Linked DNA regions of Alligator mississippiensis. The protein of the gene in region 1 interacts with the protein of each later gene in a biochemical or structural test. Links are inferred from orthologs where the notes say so. Each region holds a gene or a part of one and is shown on either strand. Other genes may lie near its edges.

Evidence for each region.
Region 2: the proteins of TXNIP (region 1) and SLC2A1 form a complex in vitro, tested with the Homo sapiens proteins (2 studies listed by BioGRID). The link is inferred for Alligator mississippiensis from reciprocal best matches to the Homo sapiens genes TXNIP and SLC2A1.

Annotation. Positions count from the first base shown.
Region 1 is NC_081838.1:17,944,993-17,953,521, forward strand, and holds the start of TXNIP (thioredoxin-interacting protein), read right to left. Parts: upstream 3,568-8,529; 5' UTR 3,244-3,567; coding exon 2,994-3,243; intron 1,914-2,993; coding exon 1,841-1,913; intron 1,737-1,840; coding exon 1,589-1,736; intron 1,200-1,588; coding exon 1,097-1,199; intron 816-1,096; coding exon 559-815; intron 261-558; coding exon 104-260; intron 1-103. UniProt on the Homo sapiens protein: May act as an oxidative stress mediator by inhibiting thioredoxin activity or by limiting its bioavailability.
Region 2 is NC_081836.1:1,294,953-1,302,856, reverse strand, and holds the start of SLC2A1 (solute carrier family 2, facilitated glucose transporter member 1), read right to left. Parts: upstream 3,297-7,904; 5' UTR 3,191-3,296; coding exon 3,173-3,190; intron 1-3,172. UniProt on the Homo sapiens protein: Facilitative glucose transporter, which is responsible for constitutive or basal glucose uptake. Has a very broad substrate specificity; can transport a wide range of aldoses including both pentoses and hexoses.

The DNA.
Region 1 (8,529 bases):
CGTAACTGTTCCTACCAGGGTCTTCCTGGAAGGTTGGACCAGCCACCCTCTGCCCTTCTTTGCCAAACAAAAAATGTTCCCCTGAACAGCGCACCCAGCTCACCTTCTGGAGCATCAGGGAGGTTCAGGTCCACCCAGCTCATTTCAGAGCTTGTCTGACTGGCCATGCTGGAACTGCGGCTGCCAATCCCAGATCTGCTGCCAATGACGAGAGGCAGTTCCAGGATGATCTTCTTGGAGCCAGGGACACTCACATAGATCTGCAAAAATGAGATGAAGAGATGGTTAGGAATGACATCACCCTTCCTCTGTTGCATTAAAGCCTGTATAAGATTCCTAATGGAAAGGGAGTGACATGGCTAAACTGTAAATTTAGTGCAATGCCATGTCTATTCCACTGGCTTGTGAGACCACTGCAGGTATCAAAGCCCTGAAAGAAACTCCAAAGAGCAAATCTAAGGGAGGAGAGGGGTCCCTGGCAGGACAACTGCACATGCTATGTTCCCCGATGATGGGCCTGGTGTGGAAGAGAGATCCTTCAGTACCCACGACCCTTACCTGCAGGAAGTACTCCACGCGCAAGATGTTGCAGCCCAGGATAGAGGGTTTGATCTTCCTGACACGGATTGTTTTGCCCCGCCAGGTGTCAGACATGCCCGAGATGATGTGGTTGCCACGCACACAGGAGAGTTTCTGAACGAAAACTTTGGTCTCGCCATTTGCTAGGTAGGTGTGCTTGGAAACGATGGCTGCCTTGGGTACCACGATGCGGGAGCATGTGTTCTCAAAGTCTGCATTGATGCAGATTTCATCCCCTGAAAGAAGACAGGATTGTTTAGTTACAGGGAAGGTCTTACCCACGGTGGAGATGATTCTCTTACAGCTTATTCATGGCGAAGTCTACACTGGTTAAAGCAGAGAAGCCCAATCTAATTGGGAAGTTTCTCTGATTCACAGCCCACTTCCCTTGCTCAGTAGTATCACATGGTTCAATGTCATGCCCTTCTCCTCCCCTCTTGCTCAGAGCAATGCTCTTTTCAAGCACTGTCCCATTCAGCCCCCTCATCTCCCAGTCCTCCTGGGAAGCCAGGCTCACCTTCGCAGAACCCCTTCCTGTCAATCCTGGCACTGACAGACACATGGCCATCAGGAAAGAACATGCAGGACACCTTCTTCTCCTTCTTGGCAGAGACGGGAGACTGGAAAAGATTCAGAGGGATTTGGTTACAACAAATGAAGACAGCCTGTTGTGTGCGCCCTATTCTATCCTGTCCATATCCTGCCAGACTGCTGCCATAACATTTTGTATTCCATGCGGTTTAATTTGCATCTCCAGGTAGATTCCAGTGTCCTGTTTCATGGACACTCACTGATGTACATAGCTCAAGAGAAAGGTAACCCATCTCAAACAACTAACCTAGACTTCCATTAGGGCTTTGAGCAATATGGAGCACTCATCTCCTTAGGAGACAATACTTAATCTGCCCTGGAACTGTAAAATTTACATACATAGCAAATATCCCTCTGAACCACCTCTAGCAAACAGCCCCACCATTGCCCCAACAACACCCAAGAATATAACAATTACCAGTAGATCTGGAGTGTTGATGTCAACAGGGTCCTGGACCTCAAAATGCTTCTTTGTCTCCTGAGGTGGGACTGATGGGCGCTCCAAGAAAGCCTTCACCCAGTAATCTACACAGCCGTACTTCCCTTTGAAGGTAGTACCAAGGGGTCTGCAATACAAGAGGAGCTCATTAAAAACACACGCACAAATAACAACCGAGGGAATTTTGTCACAAGGCTAGCATTTCTGATGCCGTGTTTGATCAATACCTACCCTTGAGGAAGCTCAAATCCAAACTTGTATTCGTATTTGTTCCCAGGTCTCAAGATCACAGAGCCATCCTCATCTGCAATGGGGGAAAAAAAAAGAGAGAGGAAGTTAAAAACCTCAAGTCTTGCTGCATGTTCTCAGCTTTGTCACAACATCCTGTCTCAGCAGAAACAACACAAGTGCCAAAGTTTGCTGTGCTGGGTATAATCTATGCTGTTACTTAGAAACGTTCTGAAAAACTTCTGCTATATTGCCATTGCAATCTTTTCGTGCTTCTTAATCATCCTCTTAAGTAAGGACTCAGAGCTGGCCTCTACATCCTCCCTCCCACCAAATAATCCACTGCAAATCTCTATCTGGGCCAATAAAGAAGTTGGAAAACTATCCAAGGCATTTCACATCATCCCTGGTCTTGCCTGTCACTCTTTTACACACAACCCTGCCAAGCGGGGAAGCTGTGCCTTCTTCCAACCTGCCTCGGGGGCGGGAGTAACTCCCTGTGCCAGAGAGCCAGGAAATCACAGCGCCCATCACTCCCTGTGCCAAGAGAGGAGCGGCTCCCCAGCTGTAACACCTGTCCTGCATACTGTACTCGCACACTGTAATTACTTCGCCTCTCCATGCAGCTCAGGAAGCTTGTTCACAATACAGCTACCCTGCCAATAACATTCGCTCCCATCCTTTGGGGATGCTACTCCTGCCGCATCAACCTCTTTAAGGTCTTCGCTGCCGGCTGCAATCTCCCAATTGTCACTACACCCCCCGAGTTTTGTTACTCCTCTGTCTCAAACTTTAGACACGCTTCCTACAGCAGACCAACTAAGGCTCTCTGCTAGTTTATCCAGGTCCAAATGAATCATTAAGATACTTCTAGGACCTTTTTGCCAGGACATAACCACAAAACCTCAAAATACTGGAGTAAAAAAAAGAGCCGCTAGCAGAGCCAAGTGCCAAAAACAACCACAGATAAAGCCCTACTTGGCTGCCAAGTATCCTATTGTGTTAAAACACCCCAGCACCTCCAATATTACTCAATCCAACCTTTCATTTTTGATCTAACCCTGCTTTAAAAGCATTTTTGGGCAAAAAAGAGGCTTTTTTGGGGGCAGAAGAGCCCTACAATTTAGGTCGTATTATTTAGGTCTCGGGTTCTCACCAGTGGGTTTGTCATCCAGGGTCAGGACGTCCTCGTAGCGGAGGTACTCCATCTCCTGCTTGCAGTGGTGGGGGCCCTTGGCCCAGTTGACCTTGGCCACGCCACAGGCCAACACCTTCATGGCTGTGACTCGGGTGACGTCGGTCACTTCCACCAGCACACGGCCGGCCACTTTCTCCCCGCTGAAGTAGACCTTGCCGGGCTCGCTGAAAACCAGCTCGAAAGTCTTGATCTTCTTGAACATCACCATGGTGGCAGGAAAGTTGGCTTGGTTTAGACGGGACTAGGAGAGGAAGGGGGCTAAGGCTCAACTGGAATGGCCAAAATACAAGGGAAAAAACCCCAAAAGCCTGGGGCTTGGAATTGAATGGTATCAAAAATCGTGCAGAAAAAAAGAAAAAAGCTATTTTTTTTTTAGATTGCTGGCTGAAAAATTAAGCCCCTTTTTAGTTTTTGGCCTGGGCGCTGGAATCCGAGGGAAGGGAGCAGAGATGCCGTCTGTGGTATTCTGGCCGCAGCTCAGCAGCAAGGAGCTCCGCTCTGCTCGGAGCCTGCCAGGCTTTGCGCCAAGACGCGCCGGATGCGGCGCTTTTATACTCTCAGCCTCCCCGCACTTCGGTTGTTGATCACCTCCATGCCACGCTGAGGGCGCGTGGAAGCGTGCTGCTCGCGTGATCAGCGCTCCCATTGGCTGCCGCTGCCTTGTTTACGTGCTCGCCGGCCAATCGGCGCGCCGGCCGCGGAGCGTGGACAGTGTGTGAAGAGATGCAGGGTTCTGAAGGGGGTGGGGTGATGCGCGGAGTGACGCAGCGGGAGGCCAATGAGAGGCGAAGCTGAGAGGCTCTCGGAGCCAATCAGGCTCCTGGGCTGTGAGGGGATTTTTTTTTTTTTTCTTTTCTTCTGTGACTCGGGAGTGTCACGTCACGGGGGGGGTTCCTTGCCAGGGGTTCCCCTGTGGGGGTGGCTGCTCCCAGCCCCGACCCCCCAAATCCTGTACTGATAATAGAGGCAGCCCAAAATCACGTGTCCTTCCCCCTCACAGCTGCTGTGGGGGGAGCAGTACACCCCCCCTCCCTTATAGCTGCTATGGGGGAGCAGTACAGACCCCCTGCCCCTCAGAGCTGCTATGGGGGTGCAATACGCAGCCCCCCATTCCCTTCAATGGCTCCATGCAGGCCAATAGCTCAGCCCCCTCGGCGCAGGGTCCCCGATAGGGGTGGTTTGACAGCCCCTCAGCGCCATCCCTTCCACCCAGCGCGGGAGGGCGGCCCACCCCCTTACACGCGCTGTGCCGGCTGTCTGAAGCCCCCCACTATCTCCACCGTGGCTGTGGGAAGGCAGGTCCTCTTTCCCTCTGCTCCTCACGCGGTTTAGGCACCATTTGAGGCCTCCAGCGTCTCCCTTCAAATGCTACATGGCAGCCCATAGCCCCCCATAATATCCCCCCACACACATATTGCCCCCCCGGCCTCCCCTCACACAGTGCTGGGGCTGGGTAGTCAGTCCCCCCAAATCTATACCGCACACCATGACTGGATTTGGGGGGGGTCAATCCTCTGTAACTCTTCAATTGAACTCCAAATCCTCCCCCATGCTCCAAAAGATACCACCCTGGACACCCGCATTGATTGCAAAAAGGGGCATCGCTAGACTTCCCCTCCAAAAAACCCCATTTCTCCTTTAATCACGTTGGGACTATCTGAGATTTGCACAAGTCCCCCCCCTCCCCCCCAGCCCTTTGCTTGTGTTACACCATGTTGCCACGCGCCGTACGAGGGTGACTGCTTGCTGCGCAGGAAATCAAAGGCAGCGATGTGAAAAACAGGAGACAATTGCTTATTTGTTAGGAGCACGATGTTTAGCTCTCGGGCTGGGCGAATCCTTGGGAAATGGGCTTTTTGCCCGATCAGGTCCCAGCTCCCTGAAGAACGTGCTTCATGCGACATTCGGCACAAAATAAAAACCTCCCCCCCGCCTTTAGGGAAGGAGCGAATGTAGGGCTCATGTCGTTCTGCCTACGCAGCACCTCTCAGGGTTTTGCCAGGCTTTCACCCCGTTTCTAAACCGCTGTGGCCCGTTTTGGGATAGTTTGAAAAGCGGTTTTCTTCTCGCAGTAACTGAGTTCACACAAAAAGCCATGTTAAAAATGGGTTGTAAGTAGCAAAACGCACATTTTAGGAGCAGGATTAGGGGAAATCAAGAAACTTCCTTTTGCATCTAAACTTGTGCCCCTTCCCTAGGAGAAGTAGCGTAAGTCACCAGGATAGTTATGCTGTTTTGCTGCCTTTTGCCCCCTGTGTCTGTGCATTGCAGTAATGAAGCTGGCATTTCTGTCTTCTGCCTTACGCTGCAATTCGGTGTATGTATCCACCCCTGGCCATCTTCATGTGTTAGGGCATAAACTGATCACCTGCTCTTTTAAAGAAGGAATTTCCTCTTGATGACAGAGCACTGTGCGATTACAGTCGACCAATAGAGGAAGGACTGCACCTTTTCCTGAAACCTCTAGTGTCAGCCAAGCATACTAGGGCTCTGCATCAGTACGATAAGAAGAGGGATATTGAGCTATGGGGGCCATAGACCTGATCTAATTTGGCAGGTGGTGGAATATGGAGATAAATAGCCAATAGGCTGGATAGCGGCAGGCTGTAGGATAAGGGATTAGATGGACTGTTGGTCTGGATAAAATGCCATGTTCCTTATCAGAATACGCTGCATTCCTTTAAGTGCATTAAATCCAGCTTCTTTGGCTCCCTTTAGTGCAGGTGTCGGCCCAACGACGTACTGCTTTTTGGCAGTACAGTCAGGCCCTTGCAAAACTGCAGTGTGTTGCTGCTTTCTCTCAGACTGCGACACTGCACATACCACAGATGTCAAAGGACATTTTAACTCTGGGCCAGGCAGCCAGCCAGTGCGGCGATCCAAGGCACGTTCCCAAAACTGAATCCTGTCCAGCCTTGCTTTTCTGCCAACCTGTTTTTGACCTTTAGCTCCCCTGACCCTAATCTGACTGAAGATGCCTCACTATCACACGGGTAGGGGAGCATCTCAGGATGGGACTCTGTATTCAAAAGTTTTCCATTATGGACAGTATATTAGAGCTTCTCAGATAACAAAGGTTCAAGGTGGCCTATATAGTTTGGGAAGTCTAGCATTTTCTTCTTTACCAAGCTATTTTGGCTTGTAAAATACAGTCGTTAGTTTATCACATCATTTCCAAAGAGAAGATGCCAGACAGAAGCCTAGTGAAATCACTGAAGGGAGATCAGTGCCAATAAACTGCCCGACTACGGTAACACCTCTGTTGGACAGTGCTTTACGGCTCTGTCTGCTCTGTGCTTTGCTAACTAAGCTGATTTTGAACACGGTTCAAATCAGCTAATGCAGCTCAAACACAGTAGGGATAGAGCCACTGAAAGCACATTTCAAAACCACATACTATTCCTGGTCCTCTGGAGCTGCTTTCTGCTCCTTGCTGCTCTGAGTCCTTACTATAATCAAGATTGGATGCACAAGATTACTCATGAAATCTTTATTACCTGGTCTAAAAACCTTGACATTGATCACAGTCAGAAAAAGCTATTGTCCGTGTCACAGGCAGAAATCAGTGGCATGTCTCTTCAGTGGGCATGTCTACAGGTGCACAATTACTGTACAGTAATTAGGTAACCAAAATCACTGCACAGTACAGGTGCACATCTATACTGCGCAGCAACTATAGTGACTTACGCTTACTCGGGTGTAAATTTGCTACCTGCATGATACAGGTAGCAAATTTATGCCCGATTAGTTACTGCACAGTAAGGCATGTGTAGATGCCTTACTATGCATTAACACTGCGTGTGTAGATGGACTTGGGACTAACTTTAGGCCCAAGTCAGTCCACACACAGCATTACTGCTCTGTAATGCCTGCGTGTGTAGACGCTGGCCTAAAAACCACTTACTGTGGAGTAATTTACTGTGCGGTAAATTACTGCGCAGTAAATGCATGTGTAGATGCACCCAGTGTGTCCTTTGTTTCACTGCAGATGGTGTGGCTCCCGTCTTTGACTGTTGCTAGAAGCAGCCTGTGACTTGGTTGCAAGTGGCTGTTACCATGCGCAGAACTCCAAGGAGTTTTGATGATGATGTTTCCATGAGATATATTTTAGCCATATAAGGTTTCCTCCAGGAAGGTCAGGAAGGGGACTAACAAGCCACTCACAATGGCCCAAGAACAAAACTCGACTGTCATGCACAGGGCGGGGTTGAGAAGGAATACTGAAAAAACCACTTCCTCTGACAGGACTGGGAGTAAGAGAGTAAAAGAAGCACAGAAGACATACATTTTCACAGCATGAGCAGGGAGCTGAGTTTTGCAAGCCCCACATGCGTGGCATTGCTTGTTTCTTGTCACCACTACATGATAAGTGCCTAAAGGAAGCTGGTTCCTGCAGGGACATCTCTTTTCTATTCATCACTGACCCTGGCTGTCTTTCCTCATCATCACACAAACCCTGGGATGATTCAGAGCCCAGCCCAGAGCCCCATTCTTCTCCAGCAATGGGGTATTAGGAGCAATGACTGCCTGGGCTCAAAATATAGCAGAGATAGACATATTCTGCTTCGCCTTCCTGAACAGGAAGAGCACACACCAACTGCTGAAGCTTCCTTAGCCTGACGAAGGGTTTCTGAACCCGAAAGCTTGCTTAATAACTATTCTCCAACCATTTGGGTTGGTCTAATAAAAGATATCAAATTCACCCAAGGAACCTTGTCTGCCTATGAACAGAAATGAGACATTTCTCATTGTAAGAGCCTTGTTGCATGGTAACTTGGGGTAGCTCTTAGAGCTCTTAACCCCTGGACTGTGTGCACATTAACACCTTAAAAGTTTTTAGGGATATATTTGGTAGTTGTGCGGGTCTGAGCCAAAAGAAATGCAAAGCTCTAAAACTCTTGGTGCAGAGATGATACCTTTTATTAGACCAACTAAGAAATCACAAAAAAAAAAAAACCCTGCAAAAAAATTATAAAGATAACTTTTTTTTTGCGATTTCTTAGTTGGTCTAATAAAAGGTATCATCTCTGAATCAAGAATTTTAGAGTTTGGCGTTTCTTAAATGGTTTTAAGTACTTGTTATGTGGGTTAAAGTTACACCACTCTAGGACAGGGGTCTCTCTCAACTGCACTACCCAGCTCCCGTTCCATTGCGATGTGGCCAGCCCCTAAAAGTCCTCCAGGATCCCAGGATATCTCCCACTCCTGTCCCTAGGGCAGGGACCGAATCCTGTCCTGGATCACCAGCCCTCTAGTGACCACTCACAGCTACAGCTGCAGGTCCTGCCCCTGCTCACCAAGCCTCTAGTAGCACGTCACAGCTGTGCAGGCTGAGAACAGTCAGAGAAGATTTCTAGACTAAGGGTGCGATTGCTCCAAACTCCAAGCTAGGACTCAATTTAAAAAGCTTCATGAAAATTGTAGGGCTCGGGGAACTGGGAACGAGGCAGTGTCCCTTAGGTCACTATTTTGAATTCAGCAGTTTGGTAGCTGC
Region 2 (7,904 bases), on another chromosome or scaffold:
TTTGCAGAACTGCAGCACCCAAGACAGGCTCCCTCGAACTGCCAGGAGCACCCAGCCCTGCATTTGAGTAGAGGAAGAAAGAGGACACACAGACAACCTTTGCACTTCCTGGGGCCAGGGTGGGACAGGGGCGCAAAGTTGTTTCAGCCTCAGTAGTTGTGGTTTCCTCTGCAGGTTTCAGCTGCTGATTTGTTCCACCCTTCCCCTCTCCCACATCTTTTTTTTGACCCAGCGGCCGAGCTCTCGCCTAAAAGAGCTGCATCCTGTGCTGCACAGGTTGCCGGGCGCGCACTCATCCTGCTCTCTCGCACAGTGCATCCTTTCTCCGTCACACGTACACTCGGAGGGCATGGTTCCCACCTGGCACTCAGCTAGGCAAGCACTCGCAGAGCCTCCAGGGCCCATGCCTGCCGACACGCCACCCCCCTGGCCCGGGTGCACGCACTGTGGGGTGCCAGTCTGAGGCTGCCTGGGATGGCATGCCACTTTAAGGGCACTGAGCTGATGTAACCTGAGAGCCCAGTCCGTGGCAAGCCCCGGGCGCTGAACCGGGCTGCGCCGGTGACTGCAGCTACTTTCAACTACCCAGGAAACTCCATCTTGGAGGAGCTGCAGGTGGTGCCACGTTGTTGGCTGTGTTACTACAGCAGCCCCACAAGTCCCAGGTGCCCCTTTTTGCCGGGACACGGACAAACTGCGCTGACCCTCTGCTTCTGGCCACGCAAAGACCAGTCCAGGCAGGACTTACACGAGGGGGAGAAGAGGTAGAAGTGTTGGGTTCAGCTGGCTCCTACTGACGTCCCCGAAGAACAGCACGGAGCAGGATCTCCCCAGTATCGCTGGTATGATCCGTGCCCCTGGGCTTTAATCCGGGTTTCGGATGGACGCTATCATGGCCCCAAATACTTCCCACGTGGGTACGTTAGCTAGCCCGGAGAGCAGGCACCTGAGCAGCCAGGGGGAGAGCGCCCATAAATACGTGGCTGCAGCTTGGCAGACAGATGCGCATGTTGTTTGCCGAAGAAGGCCGAGCTCTCTTTAGGGGGCTAGAGGCAGATCACTGTATTTTTCTATATGCGCTTATGGAAACCTTGTTACAAGATCACGTGCTGACAGTCCCTGGAAAAACTGAATGTGCAGAAGTGTGGCTAAATCTGCTGGTCTCAGGAGATGCGGGCAGCTGCCAGCCCCTTCCCTGGCGCAGGCCTGATCCACCTCCCCACTGATTCAGCGGTTTTAAGGGGAGGTGGCGGGAGCTGGCCCATGTTCACCCCAAAATCCTTCACACCTTTTGCTAGCAGAGCCCACAGGCATTAACCAACCCCCCTCCGTTAGGGTGGCCAGAAAACAAGAACTCTGCTTTAAAAAAAGTCGAGGCTTTCATTGCACATTGTGGCAAATCTGTCTTTTGAGACAACCCCAGAGAAATCCACCCACGGGTACGAAGAAGTGACTTGCGCTCAAGTCTCCCACAACTTGCCTGGGGTCACGGGCAAGCGAGTGACAAGACCAGGGGGTCCGGACTCGAGGCCTGCCCCCGTCCACGCGGCTGGGCACCTTTCTGCGGGTGATCTCCCATGTCCAGGCTACTCTGCCCAAGTCATTCAACCACATCAGACAGGCACGCGGGACTGTATCGTACGAGTACTGCACTGCATAGCCCCGGGGGATGCGAAAAGCAGCCAGGTTTGAAAACCTCCTACAACAGCATTGTTAGAAAATGATCAGTAAGTTTTCGAAGGCTGGTAGCGCACAAAGCGCTCTCCCACCCACGACGGGCCTGAGAGGCAGCTCCTGCTACCGAGAGAGGTGCTTTCCTCCGCTCGGTGCTGGGCCCGAGCGGTCCCCACCACCCCGGGGGCTAAGGGTTTCTAACAAAACATCGCGCTTCCCACATTTGGAGCGACCAGGAAACAAGGAAGGATTTCAGGCGGCTGTGACAGGACAGCGTGACGTCAGTAGGATTGCCACACTGATTGTTTGCATAGCGAGGTCTCACGGAAGGAGACTGCAGCGACTCGCAGGTGTGCTAGGCAGCCTGATACCACACCAGTTATCACGCGGCTCCACTAGCGATACGTGCACACCACCAGGATCTTTCCACTGCGCTCTCTCCAGGTTAAATATGGATCAGCCACATGATGCCCACGTCCCCGAGCAGAGGTGCCCTTGCTGTTGCAGTTTAGTTTAAAAGGGGAGAGGCGCAAACTACGCACCGAATCCCTGGCCAAGGTTTTTAAAAGCGACTAGTCCTGAACGCCTATTTCAAGGCACCTTAAGACTGCTCTGTTTGCAGAAGAGAGATATGCGGAACCGGTGTCAGAAAGTATCGCAGCTGCCCCGCCGGGCGGGCGGGCGGGGGGGGGGGGGTGGGACGGACCGCCCCGAGTTACAAGAAACCAAACCAAAGCCTCTGGCCCCAGCGCTGCGACAGACAGACAGACAGACAGCACCTTCCTTCTTCCAGTCAGACACCCAGAAAGAGCAATCCCTTCCCATTACTGAACGGCACCGGTTTTACTTTTCCCACGGGGTCGGACACTCGGAGCGGGCTGCAACGGGACACGCGGGGCGCGGTCCCACCGGCGCATCCACGGACACGTCGCCACGGCCCACGGCGGCAGACGTGGCGCGGGCGGGTTTGGCTTTCTAAACGCTTCCCTTCCAAGGAAAAGCGAGCCGGGACGTGGAAAGGTTTAGGCGGCCGCTCCTTAAGGAAATGGCCGGTCTTCTTTTATTCGGAAACATCAGCGTTTCTCCAACTGTCTCCAACCTCCCCCTCCTCTCTGACCGCGACCGGGACCGGGACCGCGACCGCGGCGGCTCCAGACTCCTGCCCCGCTCGGCCCCGGGGGGGAAGGACGCCGCTCCCTGCAGGCGCCGCCGGGGCCACGTGCGGGCCGCCTGCTCCGCGCCCATCCGGGGCTCGGCGGAGCTCCTCGGCCGGAGCGAGGGGAGGGGACGGGGGGAGCGGCGCAGGGCCCGGCCCCGGCCAGCGCGGCGGCCCGCCCGGGAGCGCCGGCCACGGAGCGACGCCCCCGCCTGTCCCGTCCGCCGCCTCCCCCGACACGCGGCGCCGGCGCCGGGGCCGAGCACGGGCCTTCCCGGCAAGTCTGGGTGCAGGAGCCCGCCGGGCCGGGCCGGGCCGGGGCGGTGCCGCGCGGCGGCTCACCTTGCTGCCCGACTCCATCGCGCCGCAGGGACCGAGACCGGGACCGAGACGAGGACCGGGACCGCGCCGCTCCTACTGCTGCCGCCGCTGCCCGGCCCGCCACGACCCGCTTAAGTGCGCGGCCGGGCGGCGCGCGCCCATTGGCTGGCGGCGCGGGGGTGTGGCGGGGGTGTGCGGACAGCCGGCGCGGAGCGCGCCCTGGTTGGCTGCGCCCGCCGCCCGTCACCGCCGCGCGCCCGCCCCCCCCCGCCGCCGCCTGCCGCGCGCGGGAGAAGGGGGAGAGAGGGCATGAAAGAGAGCGTGCGCATGCGCGTGGGCCTGCGCGTGTGCCTGCGAATGTGTCACTGTGTGTGTGTGTGTGTGTGTGTGTGTGTGTGTGTGTGTGTGTGTGTAGACACACACAGAAATAAAAGAACACGTGTGTGGGTACATGTGTGCGTGTGCCCCGTGTCGGGGTCCGATGTGTTTCCTCGTGCAGCGCAGCGCGCCACGCCATGCCGCGCGCCCCGGCCCGGTCTCCTGCGGGCGGGCGCAGAGGGGCTCCCAGCCCAGGGGCCTGCCCCTGCCCCACAGCCGCTCGCTCCGTCCGGTGCCGAGTCCTTTGCTGCCGGGGGGCAGGGGGTGTGCAGGGACCGCGGGGCCTTTCCCCGCAGCAGGCCCCCGGCCCACCTCGCCCGCCCGCCTCGCCTCGCCTCGCCTCGCCCGGCTTCACTCTCCCCACACCGCCCAAAACAGCGCGGGTGCGAGGGCACGAGGACGGCAGCGCCCGCTCCGGCACTGCCCGTCTCCCCGGGCCGCGGGGCCCTGGCGGGGTCGGTTGTGCCGGTGGCTCCCAGCGATGGGTCCGGACACGGGAGCTCCCCGCTTTGCCCGGCGCTAGGCCGCAGCCTCGCCTCGCCCTGGCGTGGCCGGGCGTGGGGCGGGCGCACGCCCCGCTCAGGTGGCAGCGAGGCCGGCCTGGCTTGCAAACAGCGAGACTTGCTTTCCCTGCCCTGCTCCCCTCAAGCGGCAGCACCCTTCCCCACTCCGCCAAGACGGCACCCAACGTTTCTCGCCATCGCTGAGCAGAAACAAATCTTGCGGGGAAGGAGGTGAATGCTGATGTATGGGGTGGGGGGAGCGCAGCCGAGCTCTTGGCATGTAGGTTTGATTGGCGTTGGGAAATCTGCTACAGATTCAGCCCTGAGCGTGCCTGGGAATGTGCCGCGCAAGGACCTGCAGTTTAATTTCCTGTGGCTGGAGCTCTTGGAAATGTTTGAGCGCCGTGAGTCGCTTACACAACTTGGTTTGGTAAACTCGGGGACGTCGCACAGCGTGGCAGCGACCTACGGGTGCTTTACACGCTTTTATGTAAGGCACAACACCCCGCGTGGGAATCTGCACCATCATCCTGACTGCCGACAAAAGTCATCCTGACAGCACAGGATCTCCCGCTCGTGGCCAGATCCTGGCTCTGACATTGGCCAGCAACGCCTGTTTCAGATCAAGAGTCAAAAAACACCATGGTGTGTAATTAGCAACTTAACGGATTAAAGGTAATTCCTGTCGGAGGCAGCCCGAGGGCCTGAAGCATGAGACAAACACACGTCAACTTTGTGCATATTTTTAATTCTCACATCTCCATCTGGACCCTGGCGCGCTACAGCATTTTGTACCTTTCCTTCCTCTCTGAGGAAAGATCCCCCCAGCATCGGTTCCCCTGGATCACTTCCATGCTCCACGCTGGACACTGGGGCCCCTTCCTTTCCCCCGGTACTAAGCAAAACCCCCGTCTGCAAGGGGAGCATGCTGCACAGGCCCCTGGAGCACTTGCTTTCTGCTTTGATTAGACAAGATTAATAATTTTTCCATTCTCAGACTTTTAAAACTGGGCATCTGGATTCAGATGATTCCCAAATCTAGAGACAATACAACTTTGGGAAATGCCAGGAGGTGGGAGAGGAGGGGAGGAGAGGGGAGCGGAGCGGAGGGGAGGGGGCGTCTCTCCCTGCGTATGTGACCGAGCGCACGTTCCCTTCTCCCGTCAGCAATACAGCCTTGCCTGCCTCTCGCAGTGCCACAAAAGGTGAGGCCAGGGGAGGGCGTGAATAGGGAAGGACTCCTAGTTGTACTAAGCAATGACTAACTCTTTGTTCCCTTCAAACACCCTGCCGTTCTTCTCTTTAAAGGGAGATAGTAGGGGAGAAAAGACCCTTTTGAAAATTCTTCCTGTCCTGGACTTCAAAAACCTCAACAAACTGTATCCATCAAATATCTGGGGGGGAAAAATCAGATTGGGCAAACAAACTGTTCTGCTCCAATAATGTCAATACCTTACATTGAGAGTTTTGATTTGTCTGTCTTGATTTACATTTTTTCTATAAATTAATTACATTATCTTAAAAAAAGGTGGTGCAAATCAGAACTAGGATTTGTCATTTGCACAATGTCAAAATTTGACATTTTTTCAGTTTTTCCCCCCTCCAAAAGTTTTTCTAAATTAGAAATGTATCACAACCTGTCCTAGCCTGTGAATAGTTTGGGATTTGATCAATCGGCATTTTCTACTAAAAAAAGAACCTGTATTGTTGAGAAATTCCTGACCAGCTACCACAATGGGCAAGTGCTGATGGAGGGAGAACTGTAGTGGCTTGTAAATACAGAGGCAATAATCTGCATTTATGCTGAGTAAGGTTGGTCCCTGAGGGCTTCCAGGGAGATTTAAGGGGTATTTTGCTAGTCAAATCCTTTTGAGTTGGTGGGTAGACACGCCAGTCGTAATGGACTTAGAATCCATGTGATTCTAACCAAATCAGTACCGGTGTGCAGAGAAGTCATCTGATTGTCTCCGTGACAGTCGGTACGTAAGTAATCTTGGAGAGCTGCAGGGCTCCCTTCGGCAAACCGCCGTCTGCCCCTCCTGGTCGTGCTTGTCGCAGAGCGGGGGGAACGCCCGTGTTCTCCACTGAAGGGGCTCGTCGGGGTTTCCAGGGTTGGTTCATTTGGCCCTGCTGCTGAGACTGGCAGCAGGATGGTTTCTGTGAAATAGATGCCTAGTAAGGTGCTGTAGTTAAGAGACCTGATCTGGATCCAGCAAAACAAGCATGTGCTTGAGTACCTTGCTGCATGTGGGTGGCGTTAGCCAATGCTTCCAGGTAAAGTCTGGCTTATGGCCTGATGCAACAGGCTTGTGCTGCCAGTTCATTTTACACACGTAACCTAGCAGCTTTCAAAACATAGTCTCCAACCAATGAGCATTTGTGCATCATTTGCCTAGAAGTGAAAGGCCAAGTTCTGCCATCCACGTCCCCTGACCCATCCCACTTCCTTCAACCGCACCTTATTTAGCACATTATCACTCAGCTAAGTTTTTTATTACCTCCTTCCAAAGAAACAACCCGGACAGGACCCACCAAACCATGACACTTTTGTCAGCTGGTAGGCATGCTCACCTCTTGCACACAGCCTAATTAGTCATGCTAAGGAAATTATTTAGCTGATGCAAATGTAATGCAAACATAAAAGGATGAATTATTACTTTCTATCCAAGCATCTGGGCTCAGTCTTGTGAGCAAGAGGTAAGCCTGGGGTGTGCACGGCAGTCCAATATGGACATGCCAAGGCCAATAAAGGCCTGGTCACGTGACTGACAGTTAGGATTTCTCAGCAATTATCTACTAACCTACCAGGAAGTCCCTTTGTCTGTTTGCTATTGTGTTGCAAACGGACTTTGTCAAATCCCTGGCTGCTGCACTTACAGCTTCCATGTCCCATTCCCCTCAGCGAGAAGTACCTCTGCTCACACCCCTTGCCTGTAAAAATGTTTTGAAATACAAAGAGATACAAAACGTTGTGAAAACTTTTATGTAAATGATAATCTTAGTGTTTCACTGGCACTGAGAGAGTTTGGCCATGCCATTGCATCTCCTCTCAATCTCCCTTGCCCGTCCTGCGTGGAGACCTGTGGAAAGCTGTGGGGAAGTTACCAGCAGCCAAGTGATTTAGCTGGAGCCTTCTCTACAAGGTGAACTGGTCCCAGCTCAAGCTAAAGCACTGCCCAGTTTCTAACTTTTGCTCCCAGCTAGGTAAGCTAGCCACGGCTTAAAGCAGTTCCACACCAAGGTCAGAAGTTCTTGTGTGTGGGTATCGGGGGAGGCAGATTTGCACTAAAACTGGGCAACAGCTGGGGTCAATGGTACAGTGAAGATGGGCTGAGATGATCCATTGCATGGGGAAAGATGAGGGCTAACTGACAGCTACATAGGGCCAGAGTCTGTCAGTGACTCCCTACCAGTTAAAGTGTATGTCTCTCCAGCTGTGGCATCCATCCAGCTGAAAGTTTTTGAACGACAGCCAGCAAACCTCTTCATCACTTATCGATGGAAATGAAGTTCACCCCAGAAGCCCTGACAGTGGATGGATGGTCTTGAGAGCGGCCATTTCTGTAACACAGACACACAGACCTCACGGACAGCGCCGACTGGTTCAGCTTTGTAATGAAAAGGCATCAGTGCCCAGAGGAAGAAGGCTGCAGCAGGAGTATCGTAGCCAAATGCAGCTCCTAGTTTACTGTTATAAGCCTATACCCCCACTGGCACTCTGCTTCTAGCATAAGAGCAGCTATTGTACCAATTTAGTTTATGTGGTTTGAGGAGGGGCTTTAGCTAGCCTGAAAAAGTCCCCAGTTTTGTACCGGAATCAGGGAATAACTAGACCTGTAGACAAAGATTTATTTGTTCCCCCTGAATACCAA